Callithrix jacchus: one gene and its partner. The protein of the gene in region 2 purifies or fractionates together with the protein of the main gene of each other region. This does not show direct contact. Links are inferred from orthologs where the notes say so. Each region holds a gene or a part of one and is shown on either strand. Other genes may lie near its edges.

Region 1 (11,219 bases), on a different chromosome or scaffold from region 2:
GCCTGGGCAACATGTTGAAACTGTCTCTACTAAAAATACAAAAATTAGCCAGGCATGATGGTAGGCACCTGTAATCCCAGCTACTCAGGAGGCTAAGGCAGGAGGATCACTTGAACCTGGGAGGCAGAGTTTGCAGTGAGCCAAGATCATGCCATTCTACTCCAGCCTGGGCAGCAAGAGTGAAACTCCATCTCCAAACAGCAAAATAAGAAATCCTTGAAAATATAATTTTTTTTTTTTAGAGAAGGGGTTTCACCATGTTGGCCAGGCTGGTCTTGAACTCCTGATCTTAGGTGATCTGCCCACCTTGGCCTCCCAAAGTGTTGTGATTACAGGCGTGAGCCACCACATCCAGCTGAAAATATTATTTTAATGGTTGTAACATGTCATCATATAAAATAATGGAGTACAACAGTTTACATCAAATATAAAGTATCAGCAATTTTTTTTTTTTTTGACATGGAGTTTCACTCTGTTGCCCAGGCTGGAGTTCAGTGACATGATCTTGGCTCACTGCAACCTCTGCCTTCTGGGTTCAAGCAATTCTCCAGTCTCTGCCTCTGGAGCAGCTGGGACTACAGGCACACGCTGCCACGCCGGGCTAAAATATCAGCAATTTTAAGTTCCACTATTATTATCTATACCACCATGAAAAGATTCTGGCCGGCATGGTGGCTCTTTGCCTGTAATCCCAACACTTTGGGAGGCCAAGGTGGGCAGATCACCTGCATTCAGGAGTTCCAGACCAGCCTGGCCAACCTATCTCTACTAAAGATACAAAAATTAGACTGGCATGGTGGCATATGCCTATAGTCCCAGCTACTTGTTGGGAGGCTGAGGCAGGAGGATCACCTGAGCCCAGAGGAGGTTGCAGAGAGCCAAGATCATGCCACTGCCCGCCAGCCTGGGCAACATATTATTATTTTTTTTGTCACTGTGCCTGGCTAATTTTTGTATTTTTTTTTTTTTTTTAGAGAGATGGGGTTTGGCCTGTTGTCTCCAGGCTTGCTTCAAACCCCTTGACTCAAGTAATCTGCCTGCCTTGGCCTCCCAAAGTGCTAGCATTACAGGTGTGAGCCACCATGCCCAGCAGTGTTATGATTGCTTTTCTTTTTTTCTTTGAGGCAGAGTCTCACTCTGTTTCCAAGGCTGGAGTGCAGTCGTGCAATCTTGGCTTACTCAACCTCTGCCTCCAGGTTCAAGCCAACTTCCCACCTCAAGACTCCTGAGTAGCTGGGATTACAGGGATGCGCCACCACACCCAGCTAATTTATCTATTTTTACTATACTTGATCTTTGCCAAAAGCAATAATTTATTAGAGATGGGTTTTCACCATGTTGGCCAGGCTGGTCTTGAACTCCTGACCTCATGTGACCCGCCCGCCTCTGCCTCCATAAGTGTGGGATTACAGGCATGAGCCACTGTGCTTAGTCTCAGGCTGGTTTTGAACTCCTGGGCTCAAGGAATCCTCCTGCCTCGGCCTCCCAAAGTGCTGGGATTACAAGTGTGAGCCAACATGTCTGGCCGACATCGTTGGTTTTAAAACAAATTTTTGGCCGGGTGAGGTGGCACATGCCTATAATCCCAGCACTTTGGGAGGCCAAGGTAGGTGGAACACCTGAGATTGGGAGTTCTTGCCCAGCCTGTCCAACATGGTGAAACCCGTCTCTACTAAAAGTACAAACTTTAGTTGGGCGTAGTGACAAGTGCCTGTAATCGCAGCTGCTTGGTAGTCTGAGGCAGGAGAATCACTTGAACCAGGAAGGAGGAAGTTGCAGTGAGATGAGATCATGCCCTTGCACTCCAGCCTGGGCAACAGAGTGAGACTCCTTGTCAACAACAACAAAGAAACAAAAACAGACCGGGCGCGGTGGTGCCCTCCCAGCACTTTGGGAGACCGAGGCGGGTGGATCACGAGGTCAAGAGATCGAGACCATCCTGGTCAATATGGTGAAACCCCATCTCTACTAAAAATACAAAAAATTAGCTGGGCATGGTGGCACACGCCTGTAATCCCAGCTACTCAGGAGGCTGAGGCAGGAGAATTGCCTGAACCCAAGAGGCGGAGGTTGTGGTGAGCCGAGATTGCACCATTGCACTCCAGCCTGGGTAACAAGAGTGAAACTCCGTCTCAAAAAAAAAAAAAAAAAACGAAAAAATTAGCTGGGCATGGTGGCGCGCGCCTGTAGTCCCAGCTACTCAGGAGGCTGAGTCAGGAGAATTGTTTGAACCCAGGAGACGGAGGTTGCTGTGAGCCAAGATCGCGCCATTGCACTCCAGTCTAGGTAACAAGAGCGAAACTCCATCTCAAAAAAAAAAAGAAAAAAGAAACAAAAACAGAAAAAAACATATTCCTGGTCAAGGCATGGTGGCTCATGTTTGTAATCCCAGCACTTTGGGAGGCAGAGGCAGGCAGCTCACCTGAGGCCAACATTACTAAATCCTGTTTCTACTAAAAACACAAAAATGAGTTGCACATGGTAGTGCTCTTCCATAATCCCAGCTACTCTGGAGGCTGAGGGAGGAAAATCACTCGAATCAGAAAACCGAGGTTGCAGTGAGCTGAGGCCAAAGCATTGCACTCCAGCCTGGGTGACAGAGAGAGACTCCATTTCAAAAAAAGTAGTAAGAAGAAAATAAAACACATTCCTATCTTATTGAGGTTAAATTGTACAAAATGTGTCTTACAAATGATACCAAAGATAACGAATATGTGCTTAATCTCTGGATGGGAAAGGACTTTCTAAGCTTCAAGACAAATCTCAAAGGAACACATCCATGGCTTTGACATCTCAAAATTTAAAACTTCTACATGTCTAAACATTAAAAACCAATCATAGGCTGGGTGCAGTGGCTCACATCTGTAATCCCAGCACTTTGGGAGGCTGAGGTGGGCAGATCACTTGAGGTCAGGGGTTCCAGACCAGCCTGGCCAACATGGTGAACCTCATCTCTACTAAAAATACAAAAATTAGCTGAGTGTGATGGTGTATACCTGTAATCCCAGCTATTTGTTGTTGTTTTTTTTTTCCTTTTTTTGAGTGGGAATCTCTCTCCCTTGCCCAGGCTGGAGTACAGTGGCAGGATCTCTGCTCACTGCAACTTTCACCTCCTGGGTTCAAGTGATTCTCCTGCCTCAGCCTCTTGAGTAGCTGGTGGTGGTGCCCACCACCATGCCCAGCTAAATTTTGTGTTTTTAGTAGAGACTGGGTTTCACCATGTTGGCCAGGCTGTCTCAAACTCCTGACATCAAGTGATCCACTCACCTTAGCCTCCGAAAGTGCTGGGATTACAGGTGTGAGCCACTGTGCTCAGTCTATCCCAGCTATTGCAAGAATTGCTTGAACCCAGGAGGTGGAGGTTGCAGTGAGCCGAGATCGCGCCATTGCACTCCAGCCTGGGTAACAAGAGCAAAACTCTGTCTCAAAAAAAAAAAAAAAAAAAAAGAGCTCTGTAAAGTATAAGATGTATACCAAGACAGTAAGATCAATGAGGCAAGATGATGAACTATTTTTTTTTTTTTTTGAGACGGAGTCTTGCTCTGTTGCCCAGGCTTGAGTGGAGTGGTATGATCTCATTTCACTGCAACCTCCACCTCCTGGGTTCAAATGATTCTCCTGCCTCAGCCTCCTGAGTAGCTAGAATTACAGGTACATGCCACCACACCTGGCTATTTTTTAAATTTTTAGTAGAGACAGGGTTTCAGCATGTTGGTCAGGCTGGTCTTGAACTCCCAACCTTGTGATCCACCTGCATAGGCCTCTCAAAGTGCTGGAGTTACAGACATGAGCTACTTCACCCAGCCTGATTATGAACTTTTTATATTAAAAAAACCTTTGCCCGAGCATGGTGGCGGATGCCCCTAATCTCAGCACTTTGGGGGGCCAGGTGGGCAGGTCACTTGAGGCCAGGAGTTCCAGAACAGCTTGGCCAACATGGTGAAACCCCATCTGGACTAAAAACTTTTAAAAAGTAGCAAGGTGTGGTGGCAAACGTGTAATACTTCTACTTGGGAGGCTGAGGCGCGAGAATTGGTTGAACCTGGGAGGCAGAGGTTGCAGTGAGGCAAGATTGCACCACTGCACTCCAGCCTGGGTGATGACGGAGTGAGACTGTCTCAAAAACAAAACCAAACAAAAAAACCTTCTTTCATGACCAAACATGGTGGCTCTCACCTGTAATCCTAGTACGTTTCTTTGGGAGGCTGAGGTGGGATGATTCCTTGAGCCCAAGAGTTCAAGACCAGCCTGGGCAACAATGTAAGATGCCATTGCTACAAAAAAATAAAAAAGTTATCTGAGCAAGGTGGCACATGCCTGTGGTCTACCTACTCAGGAGGTTGGGGCAGGAGGATCATTTGAACCCAGGAGGTAGAGGTTGTGGTGAGCCATGTTTGCACTACTGCACTCCAGTCTGGGTGACGGAGTGAGGCCATGTCTCAGAAAAAAAAAAAAAGGAAAATAAAAATAAAAATTAAAAAACCTTTTTTACGTAAGTTGGACAATTTATGTAAAAGAGAATTGGCTATAAATGTATGAAATTTATTCTACCTCACTAGTATTTTTTTTTTTTTTGAGATGGAGTTTCATTCTTGTTGCCCAGGCTGGAGTGCAATGGCGTGACCTCAGCTCTCTGCAACCTCTGCCTCCTGGGTTTAAGCAATTCTCCTGCCTCAGCCTCCAAAGTAGCTGGGATTACATGCAAGCGCCACCATGCCTGGCTAATTTTTGTTTTGTTTTCTTTGAGTTGGAGTCTTGCTTTGTTGCCCAGGCTGGAGGGCAGTGGTGTGATCTCTGCTCACCGCTTCCTCTGCTTCCTGGGTTCAGGCAATTCTCCTGCCTAGCCCTCCTGAGTAGCTGGGATTACAGGCACATGCCACCACACCTGGCTGATTTTTGTTATCTTTAGTAGAGGTAGGGTTTCACCATGTTGGCCGGGATGGTCTCCAACTCCTGACCTCAAGTGATTCACCTGCCTCAGCCTCCCAAAGTGCTGGGATTACGGGTCTGAGCCACTGCACCTGGTGGGAGTCTCTCTTTCTGATGACCTCAGCCACAGTGCCTTCTGAAATGGTACCACAGGTATGTGCTTCTAGTTCTGTTTGCAGCAGAGTGCATGGCATGTACCATCATTCCCTCTGCCTGCTCTCTATTTGCGTCTCCCTCACATCCAGCAAGACTTTTCCTTTATACAGGACTTGCAGTTAACACCCTTGCCAAGGCCGAAGTGGCCTTTGAAGATCAGGCCCTCCTTAGCTCTGGGCTCCTGTGTTTCTTTGGATGTCCTCTCTACTTTCCTCAAACCTGTCAAAACTGGATTCGGCCTCTGTGGCACTGGGTTTGGAAACATGCTTTGCCCGAATCTTCCGAGGGTGGCACTCAGGCCTGCACTACCTGAGTTAGCCCTGCGGCAGGGTCCAACACTACCTTATGGTTAATTTATTGCCTGTGTCCACGAGAGCTGGGGTGAAGAGGGCAGCCAGATTAGACAGAGGGAGGCCTGGGAAGCTCTGGAGTCTTCGGTTTTGGGCAGTGCTGCTAGAAACCACGAACATTACTCATCTCGCAGCCTATGTGCACACCGGGTGACCCAGGGGCCTCGAATGCAGGGTCTCCACCTGGGGAATCACGCACTGTTACCAATTCAGCGCTGGGATGATTCAGCCGGAGCCTATCCCAGCACAGAGGCCGGCACGCACCCGTAGAGGAGATCGCGCTCGCGAGGCAGTACCCGGCGACCCGTCCTCGTGCCAGGGCCCCAGGGCGTTCCAGGCCCGCCGACCCGGAGGTGGGTCAAGAGGTACAAAGGATGCAAGTTCGTTAGGCAAAAGCGGGGTACAGGCGCGAGCCACAGGCACGGGAACCCCGCGCCGACCAGCGCCCTAGGCCCGACGACGGCAGGTAAGGGGAAGTGGAGGCACACACGGCTGGGGCGTGCCCCAGGCACCATCCGGGAGGCTTCGGGTGCTGGACGTCCGCAGCCCTATAGTTCCCAAGACGCTCGGCAATCTGCAGCTGATCAGCTCCGGCCAGCTTTGGGATAAAGGGGAGACAGGCGGCGCGGGGAGTGGGAACACCCGAAGGCCGCGCTCCTCCTTTCAGGTCGGCCAGGAGCGCCCCGGTAAGACTGGGGGTAAGGGGTAGAAAGACGCCCACCTCATCACAACCCAGAGGTCGGGACTCCTATACAGCCCCATAGGGAACTGGCGGCGCCATTCCCCTCCCCCACGTTGGCGGGTAACGCTAGAGAACGGTTTCAAGGAAGACGCATGCGCAAGAAACAATTATAAACCGCTGAGGCTCCAAGTTCAATATTCGCGATCAAGCGCAGGCGCAATAAAAAGCCCGGCGGGTTAATGGGTGGGGGTGCTGAGTCCAAAACGCAGGCGTGTAATAATCTACCAACCGGAGGTAGGCTGATTCTTGAAGTTACGCATGCGTCAGAGCTCTTTGTGACGCAAGGGGGCGGGGCGAGCAGCTGGCTGCGCGTGCGCAGAGCTCGCACAAAGGGCCTTATTTAGGTTGCGCAAGCGCCTGTTGGCCATTTCGTCTTACCCACGCTGGAGTTGGGTGTCAGGGTGAGTTGCGGTCGGTCCTCCCTAGCTGTCCAGCGACCCCCGCTGTGGGGTCCGTTTTTGCTAGGATTGTTTTCCTCCCGACCTCTGGGAGGGCTGCGGGGATCTTGGCTAGCTGCGGGCAGCCATCGAGAACCGAAAGTTGTTCGCTGAATCCCAGCACCGCCGCCGAGGCCTGCAGGCCGCGCGGACTCTATTGTGTGAGAAGTCGGAGGAGGCGGAGCGGAAGCGGCCGCCGCCATTTCCTTGTCTCCACGCTGGCTCTCGACCCCCGCCCCCAGGGTTCGGAGCGCCGACAGCTGCTCCCCAGAGCAGCTTTGGGGGTCCGCTCGCTGGCCGAGGAAGTGTTGGGTGTTGGAGTCGCCGGGGTGGGTGCATCCGCCCGGTTTTTGCTCCGTAGGGCGGGTGGCGCGGGCCCGGGGGGGTACATCGGGGGCGGAGCACAGCTTAATGGGCGCTCTCAGGTCTGGTCCTCCTCCCCGCCTTGCAGTTTGTTTCGACGTCGGACCGCGTAAGAGACAATGATGTTGGGCACCGAAGGTGGAGAGGGATTCGTGGTGAAGGTCCGGGGGTTGCCCTGGTCTTGCTCGGCCGATGAAGTGCAGAGGTTTTTTTCTGGTGAGTTACCACTAGAACGCGGGAGTTCGAGTTCGAGGCCTGGGCGGGCGGGCTGGCGGGCGGGCTGGCGGGCAGCCGGGCTGGGGCGGGCCGGGCGGGACTCGGGGCGCCCCCTGGCGTGGCGCGGATGACTGCAGTTCCCGCTGTGCTGTTCGCGCCCCGCCGACCGCTGTTACGCAATGGAAATTTCGAAAGCCCCGCCGCCTTCCTGTTTCTTGGAGTGCTGCCGATCTGGTAGACTTGTTTTCTTTACCTGCCTTTGAACACCAGCTCTTCTTTTTTTTTCCGTTTTCGGCTCACTGCGATTCGGGTTGAAGCGATTCTCCTTGCCGCAGGCTCCGGAATAGGTGGGATTACAGGCGTGTGTCACTATGCCTGGCTAACTTACTGTACTCTTTTTCTTTTTTAAGACGGGGTTTCAACATGTTGGTTGGGCTGGTCTTGAATTCCCGATCTCAGGTGATCCGCCCGCCTTGGCCTCCAAAGTGCGTGGATTACAGGCGTGAACCACCACGCCCGGCCATCTTTTTGTATTTTTAGTAGAGACGGGGGTTTCACCATATTGGACAGGCCGGTCTCGAACTCCTGACCTGAAATGATCGGCTGCCTCGGCCTCCCAGAAGTGCTTGGGATTACAGGCGTGAGCCACTGCTCCCTGTCTGGGTATCTTTTGGAAAGGATAAATTGGCATAGATGGGATTTCTTCTTGAATCTTGAGAAAAATCTCCCGAGTGATTAGACAAATTGTAATGTTTTGGAATATCTTGAAGTGTAACCTCTTGTTTACAGTTTCGGTGTTTCCTTGAAAATGAGCATTCTGCTTCGGAAAGTTAAAGTGTCACGTCTTAATTTCGGTTTTCCTAATCAAGATTTGGTAATTGAGATGTGTTTGCTAGTCTAGTTCTTGATATGGCTCTCTATACAGTTGAAGACGCTGAAGCCCAGGGAAGTTTTCTTGCCTGTGTAAATTTTTTTCCAGTACACAGTTTTCCTGAGTATTTTCTATCAGAATGTTCTTGTTCGCAGCATTAGACTGGGGAAAAGAAATTAGTTTAGACTGATGAAATTCTATTTGGATGAAATTGACAGCTTTTGGTAAGACGTTTGTAGTGTTGACTTACTATCTGAATTTAGCGTTGGTAATGGAAAACGACCTGTAAAACAAGAACCAAGTACACTGGAAGCCACCTTGCAGGGGGCAACACTGGGTTTGGCTGCAGCTGTGCAGCTTGGAGCATTTTAGCTTGGTAACACTGATTCCCTTTCAGGTTAGTATTGGGCCTGCAATTTGGATTTGAATGAGAAACCGTAATGTCGCTGCTGGTAAAGTAAAACTGACAAATGCACCAGACCAAAACAACTCACAACGAAGTATGTTTGCCATAAAGTCACAAAGTACAGACTTGATAGTATTCTGAGAAATTGATAAAAGATTTGTGATGGAGACATGAGTAACAAGGACTCAAAAGAGAAATTCATTCTGTAACTGCTTTGAATATTGGATGTTGATGGGTTGGAAATAGATCCCCTTGGGAATGAGATTTCTTTTTTAATTGGCATTCTAGGAGTTGGTGATACCGTGGTCATTATAGTCTTCACAAGTTAATGTAATTTTTGGCGTGGGGGACATGGAATAGGTATTTCATCTGTGTCACCCAGAGGTGGTTTTAGGTTTTAAATTCTGTATTAACGGTTGTTTTCTTTCCAGACTGCAAAATTCAAAATGGGGCTCAAGGTATTCGTTTCATCTACACCAGAGAAGGCAGACCGAGTGGCGAGGCTTTTGTTGAACTTGAATCAGAAGATGAAGTCAAATTGGCCCTGAAAAAAGACAGAGAAACTATGGGACACAGATATGTTGAAGGTTTGATTTACGTTGCCCTAGTAACAGTAAATAAAGCGTTGCATATAGAGGTCTTACCCCTTCTGAATTTTAGGTATTTGACCGCATGGAAATGGTTATCTAAGGGAGTTTGTGGCAGCTCTTCCTAGCTTATCTAAAGACCCAGGAAGTCTGAACTTCGATATCTAATTTTCCAAAATTGACTAATTCTAAGCACCTCTTTCAGTATTCAAGTCAAACAACGTTGAAATGGATTGGGTGTTGAAGCATACTGGTCCAAATAGTCCTGACACGGCCAATGATGGCTTTGTACGTCTTAGAGGACTTCCCTTTGGATGTAGCAAGGAAGAAATTGTTCAGTTCTTCTCAGGTATGTAGTCCTGTTTGTTGCTGAGCAGTGAGTTTTGGCTAGCTTCTGGCAAGGTGATTTAATAAACCTTAAAGTTGAGTAGCTTAGGTCTTTAACTAGGTTGTAAATTTATGCCAATATTTTCTTCCTAGAGACCTTCAAATAATTTAAGCCCATCTTAAAGGTGGAAATGAAATACTTCCAAAATGTTAACTTTGCCTATATTTAGTATTATAGTTCAGAGTAGATCTTTCATTGAGGATTGCCCTCAACAGCTTAACTACTTTCCTCACATTGCTGTCCAGCTAAGTACCTCAAGTTAAAGGTAAGATCCCTTAACATCAGATTAGTATGATGAATTAGGTTGTTGTAAGTTATGGCAGGTGTCTGTGTTGCAAGAGACGCTTGGGTCATGGGACCAGAAACATCTCTTCTAATGGTCTTAATTCTCTTTAATGCAAAAGTCTATTATGAAAGACTTGGTTTAACCAGTGTGTTACAAACTTATTGAAAATCAGATGTAATGAGAGTAGGTTGAATGCTTGTAGTTTCAGTATCTGAAGTAACAAGTGTTGAAATTGTTTGTGGGCCTAAAGTATTTGAATGTTTTTATGCTGAAGAGCTGATAAGATTGCATGTTTAACAGAATGTTAGATATCTTATGTTTTAAGTATTAATATTTATGATGTGATAAACTGGAAGCAAGAAGTCCTTTCATGGTTTATTGTATATTAGAAATTTATATATGTATAAAGTCCTAATGTCAGAATTTTTAAAATCGTCTATTTTGTTTTTAATCTACATTGGTGAGAATTGAATGCTATCTGTCAACGTTAAATATGAACATAATTTCATATCTTCTAGGAAAGTGCTTTAAGTCCTTTTTGTAAGCTTGAGAATGTATCCACGGAAAGGATTTTTCATAGACGGAATTTCCAGAAGTGAATCATACTACTGTTAGAGCATAAGCAAGCATGATTGTCTGGTGTAGATCAGTTTTGTTGAAAATTTAGATTGTTATGTTTGTCAATAATGATTTAATGTTTTCAGTTTTTATATGAAATGTTTAAATGTGTACCTTTTTTAAAAGCTGAAGTTCCAATAACTTAAAGCATTGAAATATAAAATGAGGTAAAAGGTGTTTTGAATTTAGTAAAACTGTTTAATGCTTAAAACTTAATTGAATTTTTGTATAATTCTCAACATTAAGTTAGTTGTATTGATACGTGTTCTTAAGTTGAATTCTTAATGCATCCTGTGTTCAGCAAGTTGGTTTTAAAAAAATATATACTGTACCATGGGTGTGTTAAGAATAGTTATATTTTGTAATAATGGAACTTCATATTATTGAAATGCATATTTAAAGAGTACTTGTTGAAAGCATACCATTCACCTAAAGTTAAAAATTCTGGTTTATTTAAAGCTATAAGAAGAATCATTTCTGGGCTTGTGATGTTAATATTGCCCCCCTACTGGGGTTATTTGTCCTTGGGTTGAAGGGTTGGAAATCGTGCCAAATGGGATAACATTGCCGGTGGACTTCCAGGGGAGGAGTACGGGGGAGGCCTTCGTGCAGTTTGCTTCACAGGAAATAGCTGAAAAGGCTCTAAAGAAACACAAGGAAAGAATAGGGCACAGGTGGGGATGGATGGTTGGTTGGATATGTCACTTTTCTTATGGTAAATAATTAAATCCATATTCTCTCTGCTTAAAAGAAGAAATTAATGTTTTGTAGTCCTAGTTAATTGATGTTTTGCCATGATTTCTAAACTTCCTGTGTCAGAGTCCCATGTCATATGAAAACTAAATTTTAGGTTTAAAATTTGTCCCTAGT
Region 2 (10,170 bases):
GCTTGAGCCTGGGAGGCGGAGGCTGTAGTGAGCCAAGATCGAACCACTGCACTCCAGCCTGGGCAATAAGAGCGAAACTTCGTCTCAAAAAAAGTAAATAAAGGCCGGGCGCAGTGGCTCATGCCTGTAATCCCAGCACTTTGGGAGGCCGAGGCGGGTGGATCACGAGGTCAAGAGATCGAGATCATCCTGGTCAACATGGTGAAACCCCGTCTCTACTAAAAATACAAAAAATTAGCTGGGCACGGTGGCGCGTGCCTGTAATCCCAGCTCCTCAGGAGGCTGAGGCAGGAGAATTGCCTGAACCCAGGAGGTGGAGGTTGCGGTGAGCCGAGATTGTGCCATTGCACTCCAGCCTGGGTAACAAGAGCGAAACTCCATCTCAAAAAAAAAAGTAAATAAAAAATAAAAAGCAAAACAGAGTCCTAAATTCACAACTCTTCCACAGATCACAGCAGTTAACACTGTGTGAATTTTATTTGCTTAGCTACTCATGCACATATGCTTTTCATTCTATTTTTTTCTTTCCCTCCCGCCCACCTATATATATAATACCCCAACTCACAACTTCCACCTTTACTCACAGTTTCAGCCGTCTCATAGCTCCTGCTCACACGTGGACCAACACTACCTTTCAACATGACCTTTCCATTTCAGCAGTTCTGCCATCCTCCTCAAGCCCCTAATATCTCCTGGCTCCATTTCTCAAGTTTACCTTTTCATGCCAGACATACTCATGGTCTCATCATCTATGACCTTGAGAGGAGGAGGAAAGGGGGGTATGGTGATATGATCTACCACTGCCCTTTTAGCAAAGACAGTGGAAGGGACATTTTTTCCTCCCTAGGACAGCTTTGGCCATGACTCCCCTCACCGCCAAAGCCACTGCCTTCCCTCACAAGGTTCTGCCTTGTTCATACCCCTTGCAGGACCTTTGAAAAACAGTTTAAGGAGGCTGGGTGCAGTGGCTCATGCCTGTAATCCCAGCACTTTTGGAGGCCCAGGTGGGTGGATCACGAGGTCAGGAGTTCTAGACCAGCCTGACCAACATGGTGAAACCCCATCTCTACTAAAAATACAAATTAGCCAGGTGTGGCAGCAGGTGCCTGTAATCCCAGTTACTTGGGAGGCTGAGGCAGGAGAATCGCTTGAACCTGGGAGGTGGAAGTTGCAGTGAGCTGAGATTGCACCTTTGCACTCCAGCCTGGGCAACAGAGTGAGACTCTATCACAAAAAAAAAGAAAAGAAAGAAAAACAGTTTAAATAGTTAAATGCTCAATTAACTGCTATGGGGTATACTAAAAATTTCTTATCTGAAAGCTTTTCTTGAGTCAGCTTCAATAAGGAGGCAGGAAGATATGAAACAATTCCTGAGCCTGTGAGACACAAAGGTGACTTACTCTAGTGTATCCTAGACCTGCCAGGGCGTGGCCCAGACCATGCTGCTATCTTCGCACATATGCAGGGTCAAGAACGGACCTTGAGTCACATGTGCATCTAGGTCCTATTTCTGCTGCTCACTGTGTGATTTTTTTTGAGACAGTCTTGCCTTGTTGCCCCTGCTGGAGTGCAGTGGCATGATCTCGGGTTCAAGCAATTCTTCTGCCTCAGCCTCTTAAATAGCTGGGACTACAGGCACGTGCCACCACATCCGGCTAATTTTTGGTAGTTTTAGTAGAGACAAGGTTTCACTATGTAGCCAGGATGGTCTCAATCTCCTGACCTCAGGTGATCCACCTGCCTCAGCCTCCCAATGTGCTGGGATTACAGGTGTGAGCCACCATGCCCGGCCTGGTCAAAACATTTTGAGTCTTCATTCCCATCTCTAAAATGAGGTAAATTTTTAAGAGGAACTGCAAGTAAGTAATTGTGAAACCCCATCTCCACTAAAAATACAAAAGTTAGCTGGGAGTAGTGGCACACTACGTTTAGTCCCAGCTATTGGGGAGGGTGAGGCAGGAGAATTGCTTAAACCCGGGAGGCGGAGGTTGCAGTCAGCAAAGATCTCACCACTGCACTCCAGCCTGGGTGACAAAGCGAGACTTCATCTCAAAAAAAAAAAAAAAGATTAAATGAAAAACTGAGTTTCATGTCAACTAAGGATTATGCAACCACTGGTTTAACTAATTTCCCATTTAGTTTATCGGCCTAGGGAGCCTGTTAACTAAGTATATGTTCCATTTTCTATGAACAGGAAAATAAACCAGCTACAAAAATCACCAATGTCTCCTAGATTCCCATCCTTGATCAACAGTGCTAGATCTACAGAAGCAAAACTAAATTTTTTTCTTTCACAGAGTTGTTTAAGGCATCCAAACGTTTGAATTCTTAAAATGTCATTCAGGGCATACCTGTAATCCCAGCACTTTGGAAGGCTGAGACCATCCTGGCTAACATGGTGAAACCCCATCTCTACTAAAAATACAAAAAATGAGCCAGGCATGGTGGCACGAGCCTGTAGTTTCAGCTACTTGGGAGGCTTAGGCAAGAGAATCCCTTGAACTGAGGAGGCAAAGGTTGCAGTGAGCCCAGATCACACCACTGCACTCCAGCCTGGGCAAGATTGAGACTCCATCTCCAAAAAAAAAAAAATGTCATTCAGGGACTTTAAGTGAAGGAGTGAAGGCCGGGTAAGGTGGCTCACACCTGTAAATCCCAGCATTTCAGGATGCCAAGGCAGTTGGATCACCTGAGGTCAGGAGTTCGAGACCAACACAGCCAACATGACAAAACCCAGTCTCCACTAAATATACAAAAATTAGATGGGCATGGTGGTGGGCACCTGTAATCCCAGCTACTCAGGAGGCAAGGCAGAATTGCTTGAACCTGGGAGGCAGAGGGTGCAGTGAGCCAACACTGCACCACTACTCCAGCCTGGGCAACAGAGCAAGACAGAAGGGAGGAAGAAAGAAAGGGAGGGATGGAGGGACTACTCAGAAGTATCTAATTAAAAGGGAAAAAAGCAGGCCAGGCTCAGCAGCTCACACCTGGCCAACATGGTGAAACCCTGTCTCTACTGAAAATACAAAAGATTACCAGGGGATGGTGGCGCATACCTATAGTCCCAGCTACTCAGGAGGCTAAGGTACAAGAATTGCTTAAACCTAGGAAGTAGAGGTGGCAAGTGAGCCAAGATTGCGCTACTGCACTCCAGCCTGGGCAACAACAGTGAGACTGTCTCCATAAATAAATAAATGGGAAAAATGCAGACGAAGCATACTGGTTTTTTTTTTTTTAACATTTATTTACAAAGAACACAACTCCTCTGACACAAACACACACACATTCCAAGGAGGAGCCCATTAAGAACAGCAACAGACTGAGGAGAACAATGGGGCCTTATTGAACACTGGTCTGTGTACCCCAGACTAGGGATCACCGTGAACATTTTCTCAGATACAGCTTTTCACCTCCAAGACAGGAAAAGAGATCCTGACACGGAGGCCCACCCATCTACAAGGCAGAAAGCTCCACACTCAATCTTCAGCATCGTCAAACTGTCCTGTTTCAAAGACCATCTTGGAATAATGGGGTATCAATGGAGGCGGATGGTGCCAGCTGGGGTCATAGATCATGTCTCCTCGTGGCGCACAGCACACCCAAGGTTTGAGCTCTTGAGAAATGCTCTCCTGGATGTCATCAGCATCTGCAGGCAGTTTTAAAAGACAGATTAAGGGAAGGAAGGTAAAAACGGACAGCCAAAACGTTGGACTTATTTTGTTTAAAAACACAGAATCCTCCTTTCCTGAAGAATTGTAAATGTGTTCATTCTGAACAGCTGAGAAGCTGTGCTTCTCAGACAAGGGTTCTTAGCAGTGGAGAGGAAGCAAACTGGATAACACAGCACTTCTATCTGCAGCTGCTCAAGTCATAGCAGAGATTTTTGGAGAGAGTAATAGTTCTGAAGTTAAAACAGCAATAAATGGCCGGGCACGGTAGCTCATGCCTGTGATCCCAGCACTTTGGGAGGCTGAGGCGGGCGATCACAAGGCCAGGAGATTGAGACCATCCTGGCTAACATGGTGAAATCCCGTCTCTACTAAAAATACAAAAAATTAGCCGGGTGTGGTGGCACACACCTGTAGTCCCAGCTACTTGGGAGGTTGAAGCAGGAGAATCACTTGAACCTGGGATGCAGAGGTTGCAGTGACCCGAGATCATGCCACTGCATTCCAGCCTGGGCAACAGAACAAGACACCATCTCAAAAAAAAAAAAAACAGCGATACATCACAGAGTCAAAGGCAAAATTTGCATATATGTTTGTTTTCAATAAAAAAGAGAAGATGTCACAGAAATTGCAGACCTGTAACAGATACCAGCCTAAGCTCATAGATGTGGACCGCTGTTCCAAACTGTCTGCCTTCAGGGCTAGTCTGATAGGTGTATCTGAGAAGACCAGTTCAGGACCCCAGAGACTCCACACCTACCATATGGATTCCCTTGATCTGCTTTCAACTCCAAGTCCCAGTCCTCATGAAAAAGACCACCAGGCTGTTCCTTGGGTGGACAATTTGTTCCTCCTGACAGCTCCCAGGTATTCAGTTCTCCATCAGAGTCCTCCTCATCCACAGCAAAGCCTTCCTCTTCAGAATGGGTACCCTCACCCTGGGCAGGACTGTCATTAGGGACGCTCTGTGCTCTGCAGGCTAAGAAATCAAAGAGAAGATAGCCTTAGTGCCAAACCAAAGAGGACCTGCTGTGTGCTCAGTAAATTTCTGGCAAACTTACTAAGAAGGTAGTAAGCAAGTGTATAGAGTGTTCTTTAGTCACATGAGCACCTTTTGTTTGTTTGTTTGTTTTAATTCTTTAGAATGCAACAGGAATGAGCACTTCTTAAAAAATGCTGTTCTGGGCTGGGCACGGTGGCTCATGCCTGTGATACCAGCACTCTGGGAGCCAAGGCAGGCAAATTACCTGAGGTCAGGAGTTTGAGACCAGACTGGCCAACACAGTAAAACGCCATCTCTACTAATGATACAAAAACTAGCTGGGCATGGTGGCAGAAGCCTGTAACCCTAGCTACTTGGGAAGCTGAGGCAGGAGAATCGCTTGAACCCAGGAGGCAAAGGTTGCAGTGAGCCAAGATCGTGCCACTGCACTCCAGCCTGGTAACAGACCGAGACTCTGTCCCCGCCCCCGAAAAAAAAATGCTGTTCCGTGTATGTTTTTAGAAGAGCTGATAATTTATTTTCAATAAGATGTTTTGTCTTATATAAGGCCAGTAATTGTCAAGTCCTTTAATTTACAAAGAAAGCCAGGGACAGTTTATGTTTTCAGGTGGTTTGCATGTCATTGGGGCAAAGGGCCTCTAATAAATAACACACTTTCAAAATACAAGCTTGAATTGAGCTTTTGCTCTTTTATTCTTCCCTTCTGCCTCAAAGAGCATGTTAAAGGTGAGCACAAGGACAAAGGGGAGCAGGGGCACTGCAGACAGAAGACCAGAGCCTGTCTAGTCACAATGGCAGTACCTAGTGGCTCCTTCTGACATCGGGGAGGCCAGAAGGTACATTTTCAAAAGACCTCATAAAAATGGAAGAAAGACTGGGAAAAGATAATGGATTTCCAAGCACTTAGTGCTATGGTGATGCCAGGTCCCAGGAGACAAGACATTCAGCCTAAAAACAGCCATGCTCTGAATACTGAAACAACAGTAACTGTGATAAGCGATAAAGTGATAATTCAGAGCAAGGGGTCTAGAGACAGACTGTCTGGTTTCAAATTCCTGTTTTGTCAATTACTAAACATGTGACTGGGCCAGGTGCAGTGGCTCACACCTGTAAACCCAGCACTTTGGGAGGCCGAGGTGGGTGGATTGCTTGAGCTCAAGGAGTTCAAGACCAGCCTGAACAACACGGCAAAACCCTGTCTCTACAAAAAATTCCAAAAACGTAGCTGGGTGCGGTGGCACACACCTGTAATCTCAGCCACTCAGGAGGCTGAAGTGGGACGATCACTTAGCCTGGGAGGCAGAGGCTGCAGTGAGCCAAGATCGTGCCATTGTACTCCAGCCTGGACAACAGTGAGATCCCTGTCTCAAAAAAAAAAAGTGTGACTGAGCTGAAATTTACTTAACTAGTTCCATAACATAAATATAGAATTACCATATGACCCAGCAATCCCAGTCCTAAACATATACCCAAAGGAACTGAAAACAGGTGTTCAAATAAAACAAGGATGCTCACAGCAGCAGTATTTACAATCACCAAAAAGTAACCACAACACAAATGTCCATTAATGGATGAACGGATAAACAAAATGCGGTATATCCAAACCATGGAATGATTCAGCCATAAAAAGGAATGCAGTGCTGACAATGTACCTTGAAAATATACAAAGTGAAAGAAGCCAGACACAAAAGGCCACATTTGGTTATGATTCCATTTATAGGCAACTCACATTTGCCTATCCAGAATAGATAAATCCACAGAGACAGAAAGCAAATTAGTGGTTGCCAGGAGCTCAGGGAAGGAAGAAAGGGAGAATGACTACTTGGTGAGCACAGGGTTTCCTCTTAGGGTGACGAAGATTCTGGAACTAGACAGTGGTGATGGTTGCACAACACTGCCATTGTGCTAAAAGGCCACTGAATTATATGCTGTAAAATGGTTAAATGGTAAATATATGCTATGTATCTTTTACCATGATTTTTTTTTTTTTGACACTCAGTCTTGCTCTGTCACCCAGGCTGGAGTGCAATGGTGCGATCTCCGCTCACTGCAATCTCCGCCTCCCGGGTTCAAGTGATTACCCTGCCTCAGCCTCCCAAGTAGCTGGAACTACAGGTGCCTGCCACCATGCCCAGCTAATTTTTTATATTTCAGTAGAGACAGGGTTTCACCATGTTGGCCAGGATGGTCTCGATCTTTGACCTCGTAACTTGGCCTTCCTAAGTGCTGGGGTTACAGGTATAAGCCACCATTCCTGGTTGTTGTAAGAGTTGCTTTAAAAGAAAAAAAAGGCCAGGCGCAGTGGCTCACACCTGTAATCACAGCACTTTGGAAGGCCGAGGCGGGCGGATCACCTGAGGTCAGGATTTTGAGAGCAGCCTGGCCAACATGGTGAAACTCCCTCTCCACTAAAAATACAAAAATCTCTTAGCCAGGCGCTGTGGTACACACCTATAATCACAGCTACTCGGGAGGCTGAGGCACGAGAATCACTTGAACCCAAGAGACAGAGGTTGTGAGCCAAGATCACACCACTGAACACCACTGCACTCCAGTTTGGGCGACAGAGTAAGACTCCATCTCAAAAAAAAAAGGAAAAAAGGGGGGGTTGCCGGGTGTTCACGCTTGTAATCCTAACACTTTGGGAGGCTGAGACAGAAGGATCATGCGAAGCCAGGAGTTTGAAACCAGCCTTGCCAACATGATGAAACCCCATTTCTACTAAAAATACAAAAATTAGCCGGGCATGGTGGCACATGCCTGTAATCCCAGCTACTTAGTAGGCTGAGGTAGGAGAATGGAGGTGAAGGTTGCATGCAGTGAGTCGAGATCGCACCATTGCACTCCAGCCTGGGCAACAAGAGCAAAACTCCGTCCAAAAAAAAAACAAAGAAAAGAAAGAACACCAGGCACGGTGGCTCACACCTGTAATCCTAGCACTTTGGGAGGCTGAGGCGGGCACATCACCTGAGGTCAGGAGTTCAAGACCAGCCTGACCAATATGGTGAAACCCCGTCTTAAAAAAAAAGAAAAGAAAAGAAAGGAAGAAAGAAAAAAGCCAGGGAGGGGACTAGGCATGGTGGCTCATGCCTGTAATCTCACACTTTGGGAGGCCCAGGTGGGCAGATAACAAGATTAGGAGTTTGAGACCAGCCTGGCCAAGACGGTGAAACCCCATCTCTCTCTACTAAAAACACAAAAATTAGCCTGGCATGGTGATGCGAGCCTGCAGTCCCAGCTACTCGGGAGGCTGAAGCAGGAGAATCACTTGAACCCAGGAGGTGGAGGTTGCAGTGAGTCAAGATCATGCCACTGCACTCCAGCCTGGGTAACAGACAGGCTCTCTCTAAAAAAAAGGAGAGAAAGAGACACTGAGAACTGTGCCTGGCACATAGTGAGTCCTGTATAAGCATTATTTCCCATGACTATATTATGTGCTTGATCTAGACCAGCACTATCTGCAATGAGGGAAGTATTCTATAAGCTGTGCTGTCCAGCAGGCCAGTGCTAGCAACACGTGGCTACTGAGCACCAGAAATGTTGATAGCGCAAACAAGGAAGTGAATTTCTCATTTTATTAAGTTATAATTATCATAGCATCAGTGGCTAATGGCTATTCTATTAGATAGTATCGCTCTAGATACTTTCACCCAAACCTCATAATGACCCCAATGAGGCACGTATTAGCCCTATTTTAAAGATGGGAAAGGCTAAGTGAGTTATCTAAGGCCATAAAAATCAAGCCCATGACTCTCTGACCCAGCAGGGAAACCAAAAACAATTTGCCTGGCTCCAAAGCCTATAAAGTAATCTCCCCGTTTATTCAGTTTTGCTTTCCATGGTTTCAATTATCCATGGTAAGGTACAAGTAAGATACTTTGAGAGAGGACACGTTCACCTAACTTGTATTACAGCATGTTGGCATAACTGTTCCACATTCTCATTGTTATTAACCACATATGCATACTTTATAAGTTAAACTTCATCAGAGATAGTATATACAGGGAAATAAAGCAGTTTCAGGCATCCACTGGGGGGGTTCTTAGAATGTACCCCCAAGGAAAAAGGGGAAATTGGTGTACTATTTTCACCATTTCAAGCTGTTTCTCTTGGTAGAAGGATGCGTTTGAACATAAGGAAAGTCCAGGACTTCCCTTAAGGAAGCGCCAAGTAAGGCTTCCAAAGGAGGGTACTGTTCAACACTGGGCAGAAAAGGCCACTAAGCAGCAGAGAAGACGGGCTAAAAGAGGAGGTAAATGAGACAGAGGACTATCCCTCTCCTCACGTCCTTGGTCTCCCCAACTTCCACTGTCTCTGCCATCTACTTGCCTAGTCGATCCATAGCCTTCTCAGTCTCTCTCTCCCGACTGGAGTAGTCAACTGTAGCAAAGTCAGCCTGCAGGAAGAAGAAATGATTACCAAGGACTTGGGTATCTGGGAGATGCCCAGTATTCAGCTATTGTCTTTCAACTTCACCCACTCTTCCATACTCCCCTTGGTGATGCGGGGCTGGGACTCTGCCACCCACTTTTCTGCTTTGCCCTGTTAAACTGGGCAAGGCTGGAGGGAGAGGGGCCTTGTTCCTTTCTAGTCATGTAGGCATCACCTCAGGACACTTCACTGTGGTGGCAGGGATGCCTTCCTATAGCAGCCACAGAATCCGGTACACAGTTCTGAGAACTCTTGCAGAGCCAGCCTCAACACTGAGCCTTTTCTTTAAAGGTCTGGGTCCCAGGACCCTCCTCCAAGCTCAGAGACCCCTACACCAGCTGGGGCAGTGCCTCCTCCTTAAAGGTTGGAATTTCAGCTCTGCAGAGCCTTTACTCTAAGCTTTTAAATTTTAATCAACTTCATCTCTTTGTTCCTTCAGCCACAGGGTTGGTAGCTGTTCCCGGCAGTTGCCACCTCCATTTCCATGTTTTACCTTTTCAGTTACTTAATAACTTTATAGCAACTCTATCAAATTGTTTCCTCACTGACACATTGAGGTGGGGAAGCTTTAGTTCCTCTGCAATGCTGAGCACTGAAGGCAATATTTCTAATCTAACTGAAGACCTTCCCACACAGCCAACCAAATGCTTCTCTGCTCCCATCACTCAGTTCTTGGAACCCTATGACCTCCAAGACCTCTTTCTAAAGAAAAACAAAATATTTCCACCTGTATAAAAAGACCTGATTCTGGCTGGGGGCAGTGGCTCACACCTGTAATCCCAGCACATTGGGAGGCCAAGGTGGGTGGATCACAAGGTCATAAGATCGAGACCATCCTGGCCAACATGGTGGTGAAATCCCATCTCTACTAAAATTAAAAAAATTAGCCAGGGGGGGTGGTGCACGCCTGTAGTCCCAGCTACTCAGAAGGCTGAAGCAGGGGAATCAGTTGAACCCTGGAGGTGGAGGTTGCAGTGAGCCCAGATCATGCCATTGCACTCCAGCCTGGCAACAGAGACTCCGTTTCAAAAAAAAGAGACCTGATTTTGATCACAGCCCTGCCACCCA

The links.
Region 1: the proteins of COPRS (region 2) and HNRNPH1 purify together in Homo sapiens (co-immunoprecipitation; 3 studies listed by BioGRID and IntAct, with this or other methods). This does not show direct contact. The link is inferred for Callithrix jacchus from reciprocal best matches to the Homo sapiens genes COPRS and HNRNPH1.

What each region holds. Positions count from the first base shown.
Region 1 is NC_133503.1:72,023,415-72,034,633, forward strand, and holds the start of HNRNPH1 (heterogeneous nuclear ribonucleoprotein H), read left to right. Parts: upstream 1-5,701; 5' UTR 5,702-5,788; exon of another isoform or gene 5,789-5,901; intron 5,902-6,539; exon of another isoform or gene 6,540-6,943; intron 6,944-7,065; 5' UTR 7,066-7,096; coding exon 7,097-7,193; intron 7,194-8,901; coding exon 8,902-9,057; intron 9,058-9,262; coding exon 9,263-9,406; intron 9,407-10,884; coding exon 10,885-11,023; intron 11,024-11,219. UniProt on the Homo sapiens protein: This protein is a component of the heterogeneous nuclear ribonucleoprotein (hnRNP) complexes which provide the substrate for the processing events that pre-mRNAs undergo before becoming functional, translatable mRNAs in the cytoplasm.
Region 2 is NC_133506.1:102,330,914-102,341,083, reverse strand, and holds the end of COPRS (coordinator of PRMT5 and differentiation stimulator), read right to left. Parts: intron 9,068-10,170; coding exon 9,001-9,067; intron 4,648-9,000; coding exon 4,429-4,647; intron 3,647-4,428; coding exon 3,477-3,646; 3' UTR 3,321-3,476; downstream 1-3,320. UniProt on the Homo sapiens protein: Histone-binding protein required for histone H4 methyltransferase activity of PRMT5.